2 linked regions of the Caenorhabditis elegans genome follow. The protein of the gene in region 1 interacts with the protein of each later gene in a pairwise test. Each region holds a gene or a part of one and is shown in the gene's direction. Other genes may lie near its edges.

Region 1 (8,725 bases):
ATAGCTTCAAAAGCGGCAAAAAATGTTGAAAAACAGTTATTCTATGCATTAGTTGTACAGACATTCATTCCATTTATTCTAATGCACATACCAATTACTTTATTTTTTCTGTCTCCGATTTTTATGCTCAATATGGATTTTGCTTCAAACTTCATCATTATTACTATAACCTGTTACCCAGCTGTTGATCCGCTTCCAATTTTTTTCATTATAAAAAGTTATCGAGAAACAATTTGAAATGCATTCCGAGCCGTTTATCGTTATAACAAAAGTACTTCTCAAGTTGGAGTGACGCATATTATGGCACCTGTGAATAGTAGAGGCACTGCTAAAGACCAACGAAATGAAACTTTGAATCAACATCGACAAGTACAGGAATCCCAGTGCTAAAATTGAAAAAGTTTTGTTGTTTCATAACTTACAATAAATACCCTGAATACTAATTAGTTGACCAAAGAAATTCTTTATTATGGCAGAATCGAAGTAATTATTCCTTCCTTTATGATGTGATACATACAAACTAAAAAAGAGATCCAATGTGACAAAATGCAAATGATTATCAGTTCATACAGTACAAGAGTGAAATATTTTCTTATTTCTTATTAGCTTCAAAAAGCCGGAAATATCCGAGTTTAGTACAAAGATGTACGTTTTTGTTGGCAGGTGTTTTGTCACATACAAAATCTTCTTGGCACAAGCATGAACGAGTTCTCCCGATTCTGCATGGCTCATTCTCCTCGCATGCTGAAAACTTCCAATTTTAGCTTTTTGCTTGAAGTATTAAAATTGAATACTTACTGTGTACTCCAATGATTTCATAGGCGCTTCTCTTTTTGTGCACATTAGTTTGAATGAGTGGCTTGAAAAGTGGATCATTTCTGAGCAGATGCTTCAGATTACAGGCCGTACTTTCTTCAATTTGATCGGTCAGAATAGCAACGATTGAACCTGAAATGAATTTTCCCATTTTCTGTAAGAAAGACATTCAAGAATCACTTCATTTGTTTTAGGTAGGGCTGTCAAAACCAAATCTTCGGTTTTCCGAGTGTTATTTTTGGAGTTTTAGTTTTCTTCCGCTCTCCAAATTTTCCGGTTTCGATGCCCAGTTGTTCAAGAAAAAAAATTTGAGAAAAAACAGGCTTCGGATCTTCCAGAATCGGGTGAAAAAAGACGTCATGGTTAGTCTATTTGTCAGTCGTAGGCACTACCAAAGCGCCAAAACTGTTTTCGGATATGTTTTTAAAAAGTTCACCAATTTAGTTTGTTTTTCAATTTCAAATCTTTCAGGGTTGGAATATGGTATTCAGTGACGTTCAATTTTCAACAAAAAAAACCGAAAAATAAAAACAACCCAATGGGAATGCATTCGTTTAAGTTTCATGATTCTTTGAAGTACTTACACTCGATCTCATTAATTCTTGAATCTTCGATAAAAAGCGATGAAGATATTGTGATAAGAATGCACAACACGAGAAGTTTCATCTGTAAAGTAAATGATTTTAAACCAATAGCGAAATTATATACAAAGGCTGAAAGAATAAAAATTATGGCTGAAGGTGCAAAAATGTAAGGTCATAATTCAATGTCAATAAGGAACTGAGGGGAGCTGACATTTCTTAAAAAGAACAAAAAGGAAATTAATCTTTGTTGGTGATTCTTGAGAAGAATATCCAAATATCTCCACCCACGCTGAGATATAAGGATATATGTACGGAGACAAAGATTAAAAAACTTTTAAGACTTCGAGAGTAATGGGCGGAACATAGAGGAACGTATAAAAACTAAAACTATAGTTGAACGTATACTGAAGATGAACACATTTTCGATTAAAGTACAATTATACGTAGTCTTTATTTTAGTTTATATAGAACTTATGTAGTATCTGTACTTCAAAAAAATGTTGGTTTAGTATATTTTTAGTTATAACCTAAGATTTATTTATTTGTTCGGATAATACATCAGTTCAATTACAACCAATATAATTGAAAAAAGAATTATTGATTGTTTTGTAACTACCAAATGATAATTATTCTAAAAACAGGATAGTAATTTTGTAGTAATTTTTCAAATAGTAATTTTGATAAAGAAATAATTAGACTGCAATAATTTTATCAAATAAAACATTAACTGTATTCTGCTGCTCACGGTTTTTGCAACAGGAAACAATGCTTAGAGGAGCAAGGAATTTGAAGAATGACCAATTGATGCCTTCTCAAAGAATATAAGCTGTTTAGGTTTAAACACCCAAAGTATTCAAAGAGAGTGTCATGCAAATTTGTAAAGGTGAAAGCATTTCAAACGTCATGATGTTACCAAACAAGGAGGTGGTTGTTCGTGATGCACAAAAATTGTTTTGACTTGTTGAGTGGGAGGAGAAGGAAATGGGTTGACGTATTGAGTCAGTTGAGTGTCATGAAGCATTTTTAAAATGCTAGAAAGGGAGTGGCTAAAATCAAACAATCGGATGGGTCAAATGATGCGTGACTTTTTGATTAACAGGCTGGAAATTCTACCGAGTTAAGCACTTTTTCATGATAAGTCTGAAATCATTCACATTTCAAAGTCGCACTTCTTAAAGTTCCTAAAAATACTAGATATATTTTTAGATGGCAACTTTTTTTCTGAAATATTCAGAATAAAAAATATTCAATGCGGCATCAAAAATAGTTTTAAAGGAAGATTACTTAGTATCAATTTATGAGTGATTTAATACTATAAAACAAACAGAAACTCTTATTTACCACTTACAAAAGGGAAGAGATTATGAACTGATATTGATAAAACAAGAGTTGCCTCGATTTGGAAAAAAACAACTTTTTTTCAGTTTCTTAACAAAACAATACGAAAAAGAAATTCAGATGAAGTTTTTGTTCATAAGATTTTTTTTTAAGACAGCGTTATATCGAATCAATATTTTTGGTTTTCTAAAAAAAATAATTTTAATTGGATCGAAAGTTAAATTATTGTTTTGTATTTTTATTGTTCTGCACAACGCAACAAAAAGAGAAACAACATTTAATGGAAAATAAAATGCATCAAAAAGTAATGCTCTCAATTATGGCTCATTTTGAAGGCGTTCGTCAACTCAACCGGAGCAAGGATGAAATGGGCTATTGAAAGAACATTAAAGTACGCACGAAAACAAAACGTTAATTCGAAAATAGGTATTTATGAAAATGATTTTTTTCAATTCTATACGGATGAAAACAATAATTTAAATGTGTCCTGAGGTTATTGTTTTCAAATTTCCTTAAAATTAATTTTGGAATTATTTTTAGAGTTTAGGAAATCACATGTAAAATGGAAAGGCCTCAATTCTGAACTTTTGAACTTTTTTGCGCGGGGTAAAAAATTAGCGCGGATTTACCCAACGAAAAATTTCAAGGATTTTCCAAATTATAAGCTTACAAACCGTTACACAAACAACATTACGATTCAAAATAATTATTCCAGTATAAATTGAATATAAACCTAGCTCAAAATTCGCCAAATTATTACTGATTTGATAATAATATTAGCCAGTAAGATTGAAACCAGAAACAAATATGAAAGAAGATTTCAAACTCGATTACATGAAGCAAGCCTAGAGAGAAAATATCGCAATTTTTCTGAAAACTTAATGTGATACATGTAGTGCCAACTTGGCAGATGTCCTATATGTCTTCGAACGTGAACTTTAAATTTTAAATTCGTCTTCATTTCAGCCACCCACTAGTTTGATATCCGATATCCTACGTCCAGAATTGTGCCGCCCACTTCATAATTTTCGGATAAATATCAGTTTCAAATGGTTACCACATTAGCAAAGTACCTACCACCTATGATCTTCGTTCAAAATTTCAGCTCGTGACTCACTCCCTCTTCTTTTTCATTGCTATAAAATGTGTTTGCAAATGTTATTTGCTCTACGAAACACAAAATATGCAAGTATTGTCGTCGCCCATCATCAAAGTCATAAACGGGACAGTGTCATTAGTTTCGATTCTCTTCGCTTTTTTCTCCCGCATTTTTTATCACTGATAACAAGACCTCGTCCACCTGCTCCCTCTCCTCCCTTTTTTCTTTGCATTTTCAGAAGAAGGACATATCAGTGTTGGCATTGTTGGTTGATTCACAGAGAAGTTATTATGTTCATCACTGCATTAATTGCAAAGGAACTTGGATTGTCTCGAGTTAAAGAACTTAATCCTACTGTCACTATCAATGGTGTCACAACCGTGGAGTTAGAGGTAACTTTATAAATTAGTTCATAGTTGAAAACTCATATATTAAACCAATAGGAACTATTTGAGGGCATTGCAAAAATCTCAAAAACTTTTAACTCAAAATTTAAATGTACTACAGATATCAAGTACTATAAAATTATTGTAACTCCTATTACTGTTAGTTTTTTTAATGGCTCAAATTTTAAAAGGATTTTGCAAATTTTTTAAATATTGCAAATATGATGCCAAAATCGTATACGTTACATTGTCGACTCTCTTAATCTGACTATTATTTTCAACGATTAGAAAAAACCGTCAACGCTAGATTAAGATATTTTTAGACAATTTTTAATGTTTAATTTCAAAAATTTTCGAAAATGTTGCTTGTGAAATTATCTTTGAACTTCACTTTTAAAGGTGCTAGTACGAATTACTTTCCAATGTTTTGTCTTCGTACAAAGCTTTCATGTTTTTTAATTCCATATTACCTCTTTAAAATTAATACTTCATGTTTGTGTTTTTGGATGGAGTGTATTATATTGGGAGTTAAATGAGCACAAAGATTATTCCGGTTATAAGGAAATTTCGTTCAAGTCGTTTCATTTTCTAATGACGTTTTTTGTGGAAATTTTTAACTGCCTGTTTTACTGATAAGAAAACGGAAATATTGTTAAATAAACAAGTTTTTCAAAATTGAACTCAATACGGTTGAAACAAAAAAAAATAATTAAAATATTGGAAGTATAGTATTAGGATTAGATTTAAACTTTCTACGAAATTGTTCCAAATTCGAAAGAAATGTGCCAAAATGTGATACTGAATGACCTTTGAATGAGGCCAATTTCTTTCTCCCGCCCTTCTAGAATATCATCGTTTTCTGGTTTTAGACAGCGGAGGGCCTCTTCCGAGTGCATTTGGTGAGAGATGATCAAGATGTTATAGTGAAACTAGAGGAAGGAAGCAAGCTTGCCGCCTACTACAATTCACTTTTCTGGCATGAGATATCAACGTTTGAGAAGATTCCTATTCCAAGTGCACATTTTAATCGATCGTTTGTTGTGACGGAAGATGAAAACAAACATTCTGTCTATGTTACTCAATTTTTGAAGAAAGGAAGTGTTCGTACCAAATTGGGATTACCAGAATTGGAACAAGTTGCCTCACAGATTGCAAAGTTACACGCTGTCAACTCAAAAACTATCAATAAACAATTCTCACTCAATGTGCAAGAAAATTATGGAAACATCATATCATTCAAAAAGAAAATTCAAAAAGAATTGATTGAAGTGTTGGAAACAGCAGTAACTACTACAGAAGTTGCAGACTACTTCATGAATCCATCCTCAGTTATTGAAAAAGTTGGAATTTTGACTCATTACTTGGAAGATTGGAAAGATGAAGATGCAGATGAAAAGGAAAAACATAATGTTATCGCACATGGAAGATTGACAGCTGAGATTTGCAGATTTGATGAGGATGGGAATTTGGTAGAGATCACAGAATGGGAAGTACGTAATTATTTTTAAAATAGAAAAAACTGCGTTCTACTATAATTTTTACTTTTGATCTTTCAACAACGAAAACCTAATTAATTTAGAACATTCATCTTGGAAATCCAGTGGAGGATTTAGCAAATTTGATTGTTTCATCTGCAGATGTCGACATTCGACGAAAAAAGTTCATGAAAGTGGGTTCGAGAGTCTTATGGGAACGGCAGAGCACCAGATGTTTTTGATGTAATTTGTTTTAATTTTAGATATTTCAAGTCTATTTTTATGCACTTGTTGACTATTACCCACCAAAGTATCAACTGCATGATTTGAAAAGATGGTTCCAGGAATATCAACCTACAGTTCTAATCAATGGGTGAGTTTAGGTTTCAAATTTTCAAATGTTTTAAAAGACCAAAAAGTTGTCGTACTTTTGATATTTTTTATAAAATAGTGTTTTACCGGATTTTCAAGAAAATAATTTTTCAAGGCATTTTAGGTTGCCCCAAATTTTCAGAACACTAGTCCCATTAAATAAAATTTCTAATCATTTCCAGAATCGAGTCTCTACTTTTTACACTGAGTGAAGGTTCGGATGACGTCAAACAAGATGCTGCACGTCGATGGGAGACAGCGTTGAATGATACTGTAGATTTCTTGACTGGAAACTACATTTCGGATAATGAGCACCCATTTCTCTCACAAAAAGAGAATGATGATTGAAGAATAAGATAACGTATTTGCTTTTTTTTTCAAAGAATCGAGAATAAATGACCGAATTCAAAAATAAAGATTGGTCGTTTTTTCTTGGTGACGAATGAATAAATCTTCAATACAAGAACGGAAAGATGCATCTCTTGACAACGTAGATATACGGACGACAAAATAATAAATGTATGACGTGTGAGAAAACACTTGAAGCTTGCTTAAAAAAGGGATTGGGTGTCTTCGAGAAAATCAGAACATTTCTTTCAAATTAAATTATGTAAGAAGATGTTCATATTACAATATATAAATAGCAATATACTATTTATAAATTATATTGTAAATAGATATTAATTACTTAATTTATTTATTTACGCTCGCGAAGAGACGTGGAAAAAGTTGAAGAAAAAAGAAAAATGTACACATAATAGATCATAAATACAATACACTGAATAAGAGGGATAGAAACAAGAAGAATAAATAGGAACGAAAGTTTGTTAACAGGACAGTTAGGTCAGGCGGGAGGAGATAATGTTATGTGGGTAGTTCATGAATCATCAGTTGTCAGACATCTCGTTATTCAAGATCTGATATATGTTTTAGAAACTTGGGGCTACTCAGCGTACGGTTTACAATAAAATGCTTATTGTAAATAATATTGTAAATAATTATATTGAAAATATGTTGAAAATAGAACAAAAAATGCAGCATCCGAAAGTTTCAGATGAAGAGTTTCAGCACTTGGTACATCTATAGCAGATTTTGAAGAGATGTTTGTATCCAAACATCTTTTGGCAGTTGATCAAGAAATTAATGATAGAAAAATATCACACCATAAATTCGCACATTTCTTTGAAAATAAAATCTTTTCAGAGTATTTGAATGTATAGTAATTGTCACAATCTTTATTCGAGAATATCGAGAGGATGTAGTTACACGTCTCCAAGTGAATTAGTTCCTCCCTGTTCCCAATCATAAGGATGTTCCGGTTGAGGACTTCTGCGCATTGCCCGACGGAGAATCTAAAATATTAGGATTTTACAGAAACAATGCTTAACAATTGTAAATAAAACCATACGTTGCAGATATTAACATAATCGGGAGCTGTGAAATAATTGTAGGAATCAATGAGAATCATCACTTCACGAAGTTCTTCCATCGGACAAGGTGCTCTCAAGAAAAGAGCGATTGCTGATGGGTGACGACTTTGTTGCTTGACTCGTGCAACTGCAGCACCATCTGGAAGACCTTTCCATGGAAGTTGTCCAGTGATCATTTCAACGATAACGTAGAAAGCTGATTCTAAATCATCTTTTCTATTCAGTTCTTGCAGTTGATGACAATTCAATGAAGCATATCGAACGGTTCCACGGAATTCAACATTGTCACGAGGTTTTCTCATTTGATTCTGAAAAAGTTATGATTCTTCAGAGTTCAAATGATTTTTGCTTTTCACTTGTCTCAAAAAGCCGAAAAATGGTGTTAATATTTCTTCTGTGAATACACTTGAGAAAAGTAATCTTTACTTTGGAGTCCAAGTAACGTCGTGAAATTCCAAAACTCAAAAGATACAACTTTCCAAGTTCGTTACGATCTTTCCGTCCAAAACAGATATTTGAAGGTTTCAGGTCTCGATGAATGAAGCCACAATTGTGAAGATCTTCGAGTGCTTCGATGAGTTGAATTCCGACGCTCAGGGCACAATTGACTGAGATTGCTCCAGACATGGAGGTTTTCATGTAGTCCTGAAAATTATTGGGACTTTTGCAAAATAGTTTTTTCAGTAATTATTGAGTCATAAAAAGAGCAAGTGTCTCCCAACTATAAAACTATGTCAAGAAAAACGAACAAGTTGATATCAGGATTACAATAGAATTTATGATGATTTTGAAACTATATTGATTGGTTTCTGCTTTTGTTTTCTTGTTTTCTGCATTGTTTTCTGCAAAACCTGTTAAAAAACTAACAACTAGTGCTCTGCCAATCATGTGCATGACAATATAATGTATTCCTTGAAACTTCCCAATATCCTCGATGTCACAGAAATGACGAGATCCTCGCTTAGCAATTGTCTGCAAGACAAATGCCTCAACCTTCAACATCTGAAATATATGATCCACAATTAACACAAGTAAAATTTTCAATTTTGATGTTTCACCTGCAAAGGGCTCTGTGCACTTTCACATTTCAAAGCAAACTGTTTGTAATTAGACATGTTGCTGGATCCATTACACATGTAAATAAAATTGAAATCTCCTTGTGCAATTTTCTTCTCGATTGTCCACTTGTACACCTTTAATTGGATTGAAATAGAGTCTACGTCTA
Region 2 (7,508 bases), on another chromosome or scaffold:
CGTTTAACTTTTCCATTTTATAAAACATTTCAATATCAGGTGCTTGAAATCAAAATGAAGATCTCCACTGAGACCACAAATGTGCTCCGGCTCTCCATCTCCATTGTGATCCTGTTCTCAGCTGTCCTAGCCCATGAATTTATTATGGAACCGCTGATCGCCGCGTTGGCAACAGCTGGACGTGGTGGAATTGAACATCGCGATGGGTATCTGGCACTTTGTTTGATCTACTTTTTCAACACAATTAGCTGCTTTTTTGCTCCATATGTGGTGTCCAAGCTCTCGGGGAAATGGGCGATGGTTGCTGGTATGATGACGATTATTATTGTCCATGTAAGCAGGTTTTTGCAGGCGTAGGCGCATTCTTAAGATGGTTTTCGGTCAGGTAGTACCATCAGGAAGTTCGCCAAATTTTTGATCAGTTTTCTCCAACGAATATGAAAATTACCCAATTGCCTTGTAGAATTGACGCAAATCAACTCGCATTCATTTTTAGTACCCCAGATGAATTTGAGTTTATGATGTCAATTATTGCGTGTCACTTTCTGCAAATTTTAGTAGAGCTTCAGAGAATAATGTTTTAAAAGTTATGAAAATGAAAAAAACAGGGTATTAAAAATTAAAAATTATTCCAGCCAGTAGTATTTTTAAAAATTTTCAGAGCTCGTATTTTCTTCCAAATCGATATTTCATATTAATAGCTTCAAGTATTGGTGGATTCGGAGCAACATGTAAGTCTTACATTTTCTTTTTTTCACTATTTTTGCCTAACCTACGAATATCCACTTTTGGAGCTATTTGAGAAGTAGACTTTCGAGCTCAAATTCTTGTTCCTTGAATTTGGCAATAGAGCGCATTTGCAACATCTCTATTTTCACGTGGTGTCAGAGTGTCTACTTTCGGCTTGATCTACGTAAATCTACGAAAAATGCGGGAAAAGAGACGCAGAGTTCTCAGCTGATTTCTCATGGTTAAGAACGCGCTGACGTCACATTATTTTGAGCAAAAAAACCCCCACATTTTTTGTAGATCAAAACGTAAGTCAGGCACCACATGTACTTTTCAGTTATCTGGGTCGGCCAGGGACAATACATCATTGAAAATGTGTCTGATGAGAATCGAGAGAAGAACACCTCCATCCAGTGGGCCCTCTACAAAATGAGCCTGATAATCGGTGGAATTTTCTTCTTTTTCTATTTTCAAAATGAGCCAATTGAAGCAATTGCTAAAAATGGGCAGGTGAGCTTAAGCAGATTTTTTTTTGAAAATTTTCTGAAATTATTTCAGATGGAAAAATTCTTCATGGTTTTCCTGGCCTGTATTGTGATCTCCATCATAAATACGTGCTTCTTGCCACAGAGTGAAATGTCTCGGAATCGAGTTTCTCAGCCATTTTTTCAAACAACTAGTGAGCCAAGTTAAACATTTGAAAATAATTTTAAATGTTCAGAAAACTGCTTCAAACTCTTGAAAACCCAAAGAATGATCTCCCTGGCAGTGTTCTTCTTCTACACAGGATTGGTCAGGTCTTTCTGGATTTGTAAGTTTGAAAATTTTTGCTGTATCAAAGTCCTACGTGCCTACGTGCCTATTTCACTATAAAAATGGGGAATCATCTAACCCCAATACACCATATTTTACGCGCAAATTTAAATTTCCAGCGATCTACCCATTCTGCATTAAATTCACATCGAACCTTGCCTCCAATACCACCAGAATCCTAACAATCGGAATGATTGTCACCGGCTGCGGTCAGGTTATCGGATCGATTTTTGTGGCAATAATTGGAAATAAAATTCGAAAATTTGGGCAACATGTTCTAATTCTTGGCGCCCTTATTTTGCATGTTATCCTATTTCTGATGATCTCTTTATCATTCCCAAATGATGCTCCACTTCATCATACTGATGGAAATGGCCCAGTGTTTCCGTTGAGGTTTTGTTTCTCATTGGAGCTCACTTGCAACCTGTTAAGCTTTCAGTGTCTACTTGGCTATGGCAATTTCTGCACTTTTGGGTTTCGGTGACGCAATTTTGCAGACCCAGATTTACTCGTATATCGCCAAATATTATCAGAGAGACAGTAGTAGTGTGTTTTCGATTTTCAGATTTTCAAGTGTAAGTTTTTTTCCAAATTTTCATGTTTGCTCTAATGAGATCCCAATCCTAGGGAATCGCTTCTACGGGAATATTCTTCGCTGCTCAGTACTTCTACCTGGTGCATCATATGATTTTGCTGACTATTTCAGCTCTTCTCGGGGGATTGGCTATTCTACAGTTTCATAGATCAGTTAAGAATATGTATCAGCAAAGTATTACTTGAAATGTTTAAAAAACAGAAGAAATAAATTTTTCAGAAGCCCCTGTCGTGGTTCTTTCGATTTCAAACGATGTTGGCCGCAAATCACAACAATCGGTCTCGCCTCTTCCATTGGTTGGAGTTTAATTTTTTGTTTTCAAGTTTTAATTTAAAAATTAGAATTTTGTTAATTTTAAATAAATGAATGAACAAAAAGAAAAATACGGTAATTCTCGTGCGTCTCTTATAGGCAGTGGGCTTTCTGATTTGAAAATGATTTGAAGCCCGTAAACTGCAAAGTTTATTCGACTGACTGAAAAGAGTCAGCAGAGAAATGGTAGTGTCACATTCAAATTATACTACTGTGATGAAGCATCTGACCCTATTCCTCTGGAAATTCCGGACGTTTTTAATTCAACAGCATGTCCTGTTGGGGAACAAATTGTAGATTGCTGGTATCTGAATGAGATTCTGAAAATCCCCGAGGAACCGTCGAGAAATCCGTTCGGAGATACTATTGTCTGGTATGGAAAGAGCTTTCAATTCAGAAACTCGTGGAATAATCGACAAATAAACTTCCAACTTTTTTATTCTCTATGTTATCTGAGAAAGTTTTTCGAAGCAAAAAATGGAAAGATGAAAACTGGATTTTTACGGCATTTCAAGGATCTTATCAATTGAAAAACAAGAATCAAATTTTTTGTATTATTTCTATTGATAACACTGCAATTTTTACTGGAATAAATTTTTGTAGAAGCCCCTGTCGTGGTTTTTTTTCGATTTCAAGCAACGTTGGTCGCCAATCTCAATCGGTTGAAATTAAATTTTTTTCACATTTCAATTTAATAATTAAATTTTTTAGTATTTCTCGAGTAAATGAGTGAACTGACAAAACTATGCTTGCAACCCTGAGAGTTGTTGCGGGACCCAGTAATTAACCACGATTATGCGCCTTTAAATAAGCTACGGTACTTTTTTTTTTTTTTTTGAAAATAAAGTCTAAATGATCAATTTTTAACGGATCTGGCAATTTGAAACAAATTATTTGCCGAAAATTGACGAAATATTAACTTTAAAACTGATAATTTCGAGCTTAAAAGCATTTAAACCCAAAATTAAGATTTTCGCGGCAGAACCCAAATCAACAAGTGAGCGGTGAACCTTTAAATGAGGTACGGTGATTCCATGTTTTGAATTTCAAAAATCGAAATTTGAATTTATGTTCCCAAAAATCTTGTTTTTTCGTTTTATTTCTGGATATTATTTTTTGAAATCACTATTAAAAAAATTGGCGAAATATTTTCTAACATTTTGAGCCAAAATATTTATTTTTTCGCCCGATTTATCAACATTTCGTCGAAAAATGAAGCTTTTCTCATTTTGCGCCAGCATACGAAAAAGCCTGTAATACATTTAATCGGCAACTTAAGACTAGTTAATTTGCGTTAAAAATTGGATAAATCGTTTATTTCAGCGCTTACATCGGAAAAAAACGTATTAATTTATTTAATTTCGGCTCATTGAGAAAAATCAGTTTTTAATTTTTCTTTCGTTTTTCAACTCTTAAATTGCTCGATTTTTGCCTCAAATGCGAAAAAATAGTTATTAAAATTCAAATTTTTCTCTTCGTGGCGGGACCCAAATCGCCAAGTGAACTGTCAAACATCTCAATTTAAATTGATTTTCAGAAGATGTGCTCCCTAAATGAGCTGATAACGGGTATTAAAGAACTCCCGGAGCCAGATCTCACTGCCAGTCGACTGATGGATGCAGCAGCTGATTATGTGCCTTTGAAGGTAGTTATAATTTCGAAAAAAAAAAATCTAATTTTCCAAAATAAAAACCACATTTTTCCAGCTTCGAGGACATATTGACGCCAAAGATATCAACAGTAGTCCTAAAACATTGGAAAATGGCGGAACTGAATTCTTCCAGGCACTCATCGATATCACACATCCTAGACTCAGTGGGTAGCTAGGGAATTTTCAAATTTATATTATTATTAAATATCAAATAAAATAAATTACAGGATTATATGGATCTGGAAAAGAACTCGCCGAGAATGTGAGAATCCACAGAAACTTTCCGACAAGTCATGTAAACTTCAAATTGTATCCTACAGAGCCATTTTTTATAACAGATTTGACTTTTTGATTCATGATTTATTTGAGTTATTTTCAGAGATCCCCGATAATTTATAAAAGTCTTGACAATAATCAGTATATCTACAAGACGGACGTTTTCATCATTATTCAGAACATTTGTGGTTACCGAAAAGATTCCACGGTAACATTTTATATTAGGATGAAATCAAATCAAAATAGTTAATTTCTTCGTTTTTCAGAATAATATTATAGAACTCAACAGATTTCTCGAAGTGATGTATCTGAAAGCACGAGAGGAGACGAGTCGAAAATATTTGGAATTTGTGCGTTTTGATGCGGATTCGTTTCGAAAAATCGAGAAAAAATTCGAGAAATTCAATCAAGGAGCATGTTTCGTTGATAGGGTATGTTTTAGACTCAAAAATTGACAAGTTTTGAGATTTTCCCATAGCAATTTTTCAGGAAATGGAGAACTTATCCAGTCGCTGGAACAAAGGAACTCAAATGGAGACCATCTTCCAATCGTTCAAGAGCTTGATTCCAGTGAAATGAAGTGATTATCAGTACATGATTCTTCGCAATTTTGTGGTTTATCTTTACGGATCAACTGACCCTGAATTTCGAATTTTACCTCTGGAGCTCTACAAATTCGAAAAATGGCTGGAGATTTTTCAAAAAGTTTTTGAGGAGTATCCAGAATTGTTCTCTCCGGTGAGAACTGATAATAATGTTTGAAATCGACGTGAAAATGCGCTCCGCCCGCGAACCATGGGTCTCGTTAGGTTTTTGGCGGCAAAACCGTAAATTGAAAATATTTAAATTTATGTCTCTGTCGCCAAATACCTAATGAGACGTTATCAACCAAAAATTAGTTAAATTTAATGATGAAAATGCTAGAAAAGATGCGATTGCGCTGGAGGAGGTTATGGAGAAATATGGAGATCAAGTGAAATCCATTGAGTTCATTCAACATCCGATCCAAAGAGCCAAGCACAAAGCTGTACCGATTGAAGACTTGAAGCCTGGAAGCTACTGTATTCTAGCCGTGGATGCGCTTTTCGAGCTTTTCAATGAGATTATTTGGGGTTCGAGAGTTTTCGAAAAGCATAAAGTTCCCAAAATTATTGAATATGTTTTGAAGATTCCGACTCTGCTCTTCAAGTCTGAGCTTGTATGTTCATATTATTGCTACACAGAATTTAATGGCAATCATTTTTTTTTATTTACAGAGATTCCCACATTTCATAAAAACTGCCCATCTTCATAGATTACTGGCGTCGTTCGAAGTTTCACTTTCGAGCTTTCACTTTCCTGCAAATCCAGTGAAAGAAGTCAGAAACGCAAAGGCTGATCATGGATTTACTCTTCAAAATTTGAAAAACGAGCTGACATACTTGGGACTCACGGAAACGTTCCCAGACATCACCGATTATGCGGAAATCGCGTACAATGAAGTGATGAGGGTCAAGAAGGAGATGCTCTTGAGAACTTGTGATCTCTTCGATGCCATCGAGCACTGCCAACTGCTGTGTATCTTCAATAGATCACCATTTGTAATTTTTCGAAGCCATTTTCCGACTATAACATTCAAATTTTCAGCTGAAGCAGTTTCTCCATAATCAAAAGGCATGTCACCGTCTTGTCGGTCTACATTGTGATCTGTGTATCAAGGAAAAAGTGGAGAAAAGTGAGAACCAAGAAGCTTGGGATTTGGATGAAAGCAGCTCGACTAAGTCTCCAATCGACTGCAAAAAATGCTCTCAAACTCTCCAAACAATTGAAGACGTCAAAAAAGAGTTAAAAACTAGTCAGAACAAGGAAAACAAGATGAGAAAGAAAGTGTCAGAGCTGGAGAAGAAGCTGGATGTCGAGAATGTGCAGAATGAGCAGGAAGTCAAAGAGATGGAGGATGATCTGCGTGGAAAACAGGAAGAACTGAACATATTGAGAAAGTAATTACTTTTATTGGTTTTTTTAAATTTTGATCATTTAAATTTTTCAGCGATTCCCTCAAAGTCCATGATGTTTTGATGGAGATTGCCGACTTGAAGCAGAAGCATTCGAAATTGGAGAAACACGTGGAGGGACTGAAAGAAGAGAATTTGAAGTTGGTTTTACCCAGAAAAAACCCCTTAATTTTATCTAAAATTCTATAATTTCAGACAAGAAAGAAACTATAATCTCACACAATCCAATCTGGAAGCTAACCTGTCGAGTATGAGAGAAGGTCTTACTATGTGCGGTTTCTCACCCGTAAATTCAAATTTAACGTTTTTTTTTCTTTCCAGATTGCAGCAGTATACTGAAGAGCTTGAGCAGGAACGTCAGAAGTATCAAGAAATGCTGACGGCGAGATCCGAAGAAACTTCAGTTCAAGCTGAACCAGCTGGTGGCGAGGAGGAAATGCTCGATGTGACGAAACAAATCGAAGAGGCTAAAGAAGAGAAAATTCGTTTGAAAGCTGAACATGATGCCAATGAAAGAATAATTCAGCAACTTCTCGATAAATTGGCCAATTTTTCGTAATTCTTTGAAATTATTTTGATTTGTTTTCTGTTTTTGTTGTTGTTGAATGATTATCGTTGATAAATATTTTTGTTTTATTTATTTCTTACTGGCTTTTTTTATATGCAAAGATACAGCTCTAAACTTGAAAATTTTCACCAATGAGTCGTGCGCCTTTAAACGTGATACGGTATTCCACTTTTCGAAATTCGATTTTATGTTCCCAAAAATCGTATTGTCGTTTTATTGCTGGATTTTTTAAAATCACTACCAAGAAAATCGCCGAAAAATTTTCTAGCAATATGTTTATTTTTTTGTCCAATTCATAGAAATTCCGCCGAAAAAGCTAGTTTTTTTTTCAATTTCGTTCATTTCTGCGCTTACATGAGAAGAAAAACTTTTAAAATTATTTATTTTCGGCCATTTGGAATTGAAAAATCCGTTTTCACTAATCCATTCGTTTATCAACTTCTCAATTGCTCAAATTTTGCCTTAATTACAAAAACTAAGTGTTTAAATTTAAATGTTTTCTTTTCGCGGCGGGACCCAAATCACCAAGTGGGCCGTGCGCCTTTGAAGATACGGTAACCATGTTTCGAA

Evidence for each region. Proteins that work in one complex are often made in the same cells at the same time.
Region 2: the proteins of C50F4.1 (region 1) and C16A11.5 interact in a two-hybrid assay, tested with the Caenorhabditis elegans proteins (one large-scale study listed by BioGRID).

Annotation. Positions count from the first base shown.
Region 1 is NC_003283.11:9,522,718-9,531,442, forward strand, and holds C50F4.1 (CHK kinase-like domain-containing protein), read left to right. Parts: upstream 1-4,075; 5' UTR 4,076-4,127; coding exon 4,128-4,229; intron 4,230-5,092; coding exon 5,093-5,713; intron 5,714-5,802; coding exon 5,803-5,892; intron 5,893-5,961; coding exon 5,962-6,071; intron 6,072-6,252; coding exon 6,253-6,418; 3' UTR 6,419-6,533; downstream 6,534-8,725. Other genes in the region: C50F4.9 (Cocaine- and amphetamine-regulated transcript protein), read right to left, coding at 593-744, 799-948, 1,401-1,482; C50F4.10 (non-specific serine/threonine protein kinase), read right to left, coding at 7,333-7,422, 7,479-7,808, 7,927-8,145, 8,368-8,502, 8,559-8,693.
Region 2 is NC_003280.10:4,219,325-4,226,832, forward strand, and holds C16A11.5 (FRIGIDA-like protein), read left to right. Parts: upstream 1-3,980; 5' UTR 3,981-3,989; coding exon of another isoform or gene 3,990-4,094; intron 4,095-4,155; coding exon of another isoform or gene 4,156-4,264; intron 4,265-4,327; coding exon of another isoform or gene 4,328-4,395; 5' UTR 4,396-4,409; intron 4,410-4,479; coding exon of another isoform or gene 4,480-4,584; intron 4,585-4,642; coding exon of another isoform or gene 4,643-4,807; intron 4,808-4,854; coding exon of another isoform or gene 4,855-5,114; intron 5,115-5,300; 5' UTR 5,301-5,328; coding exon 5,329-5,574; intron 5,575-5,632; coding exon 5,633-5,956; intron 5,957-6,002; coding exon 6,003-6,355; intron 6,356-6,405; coding exon 6,406-6,510; intron 6,511-6,565; coding exon 6,566-6,640; intron 6,641-6,691; coding exon 6,692-6,929; 3' UTR 6,930-7,008; downstream 7,009-7,508. Other genes in the region: F31D5.1 (UNC93-like protein MFSD11), read left to right, coding at 55-333, 662-731, 1,067-1,239, 1,288-1,408, 1,451-1,540, 1,662-1,935, 1,982-2,117, 2,170-2,311 and 1 more.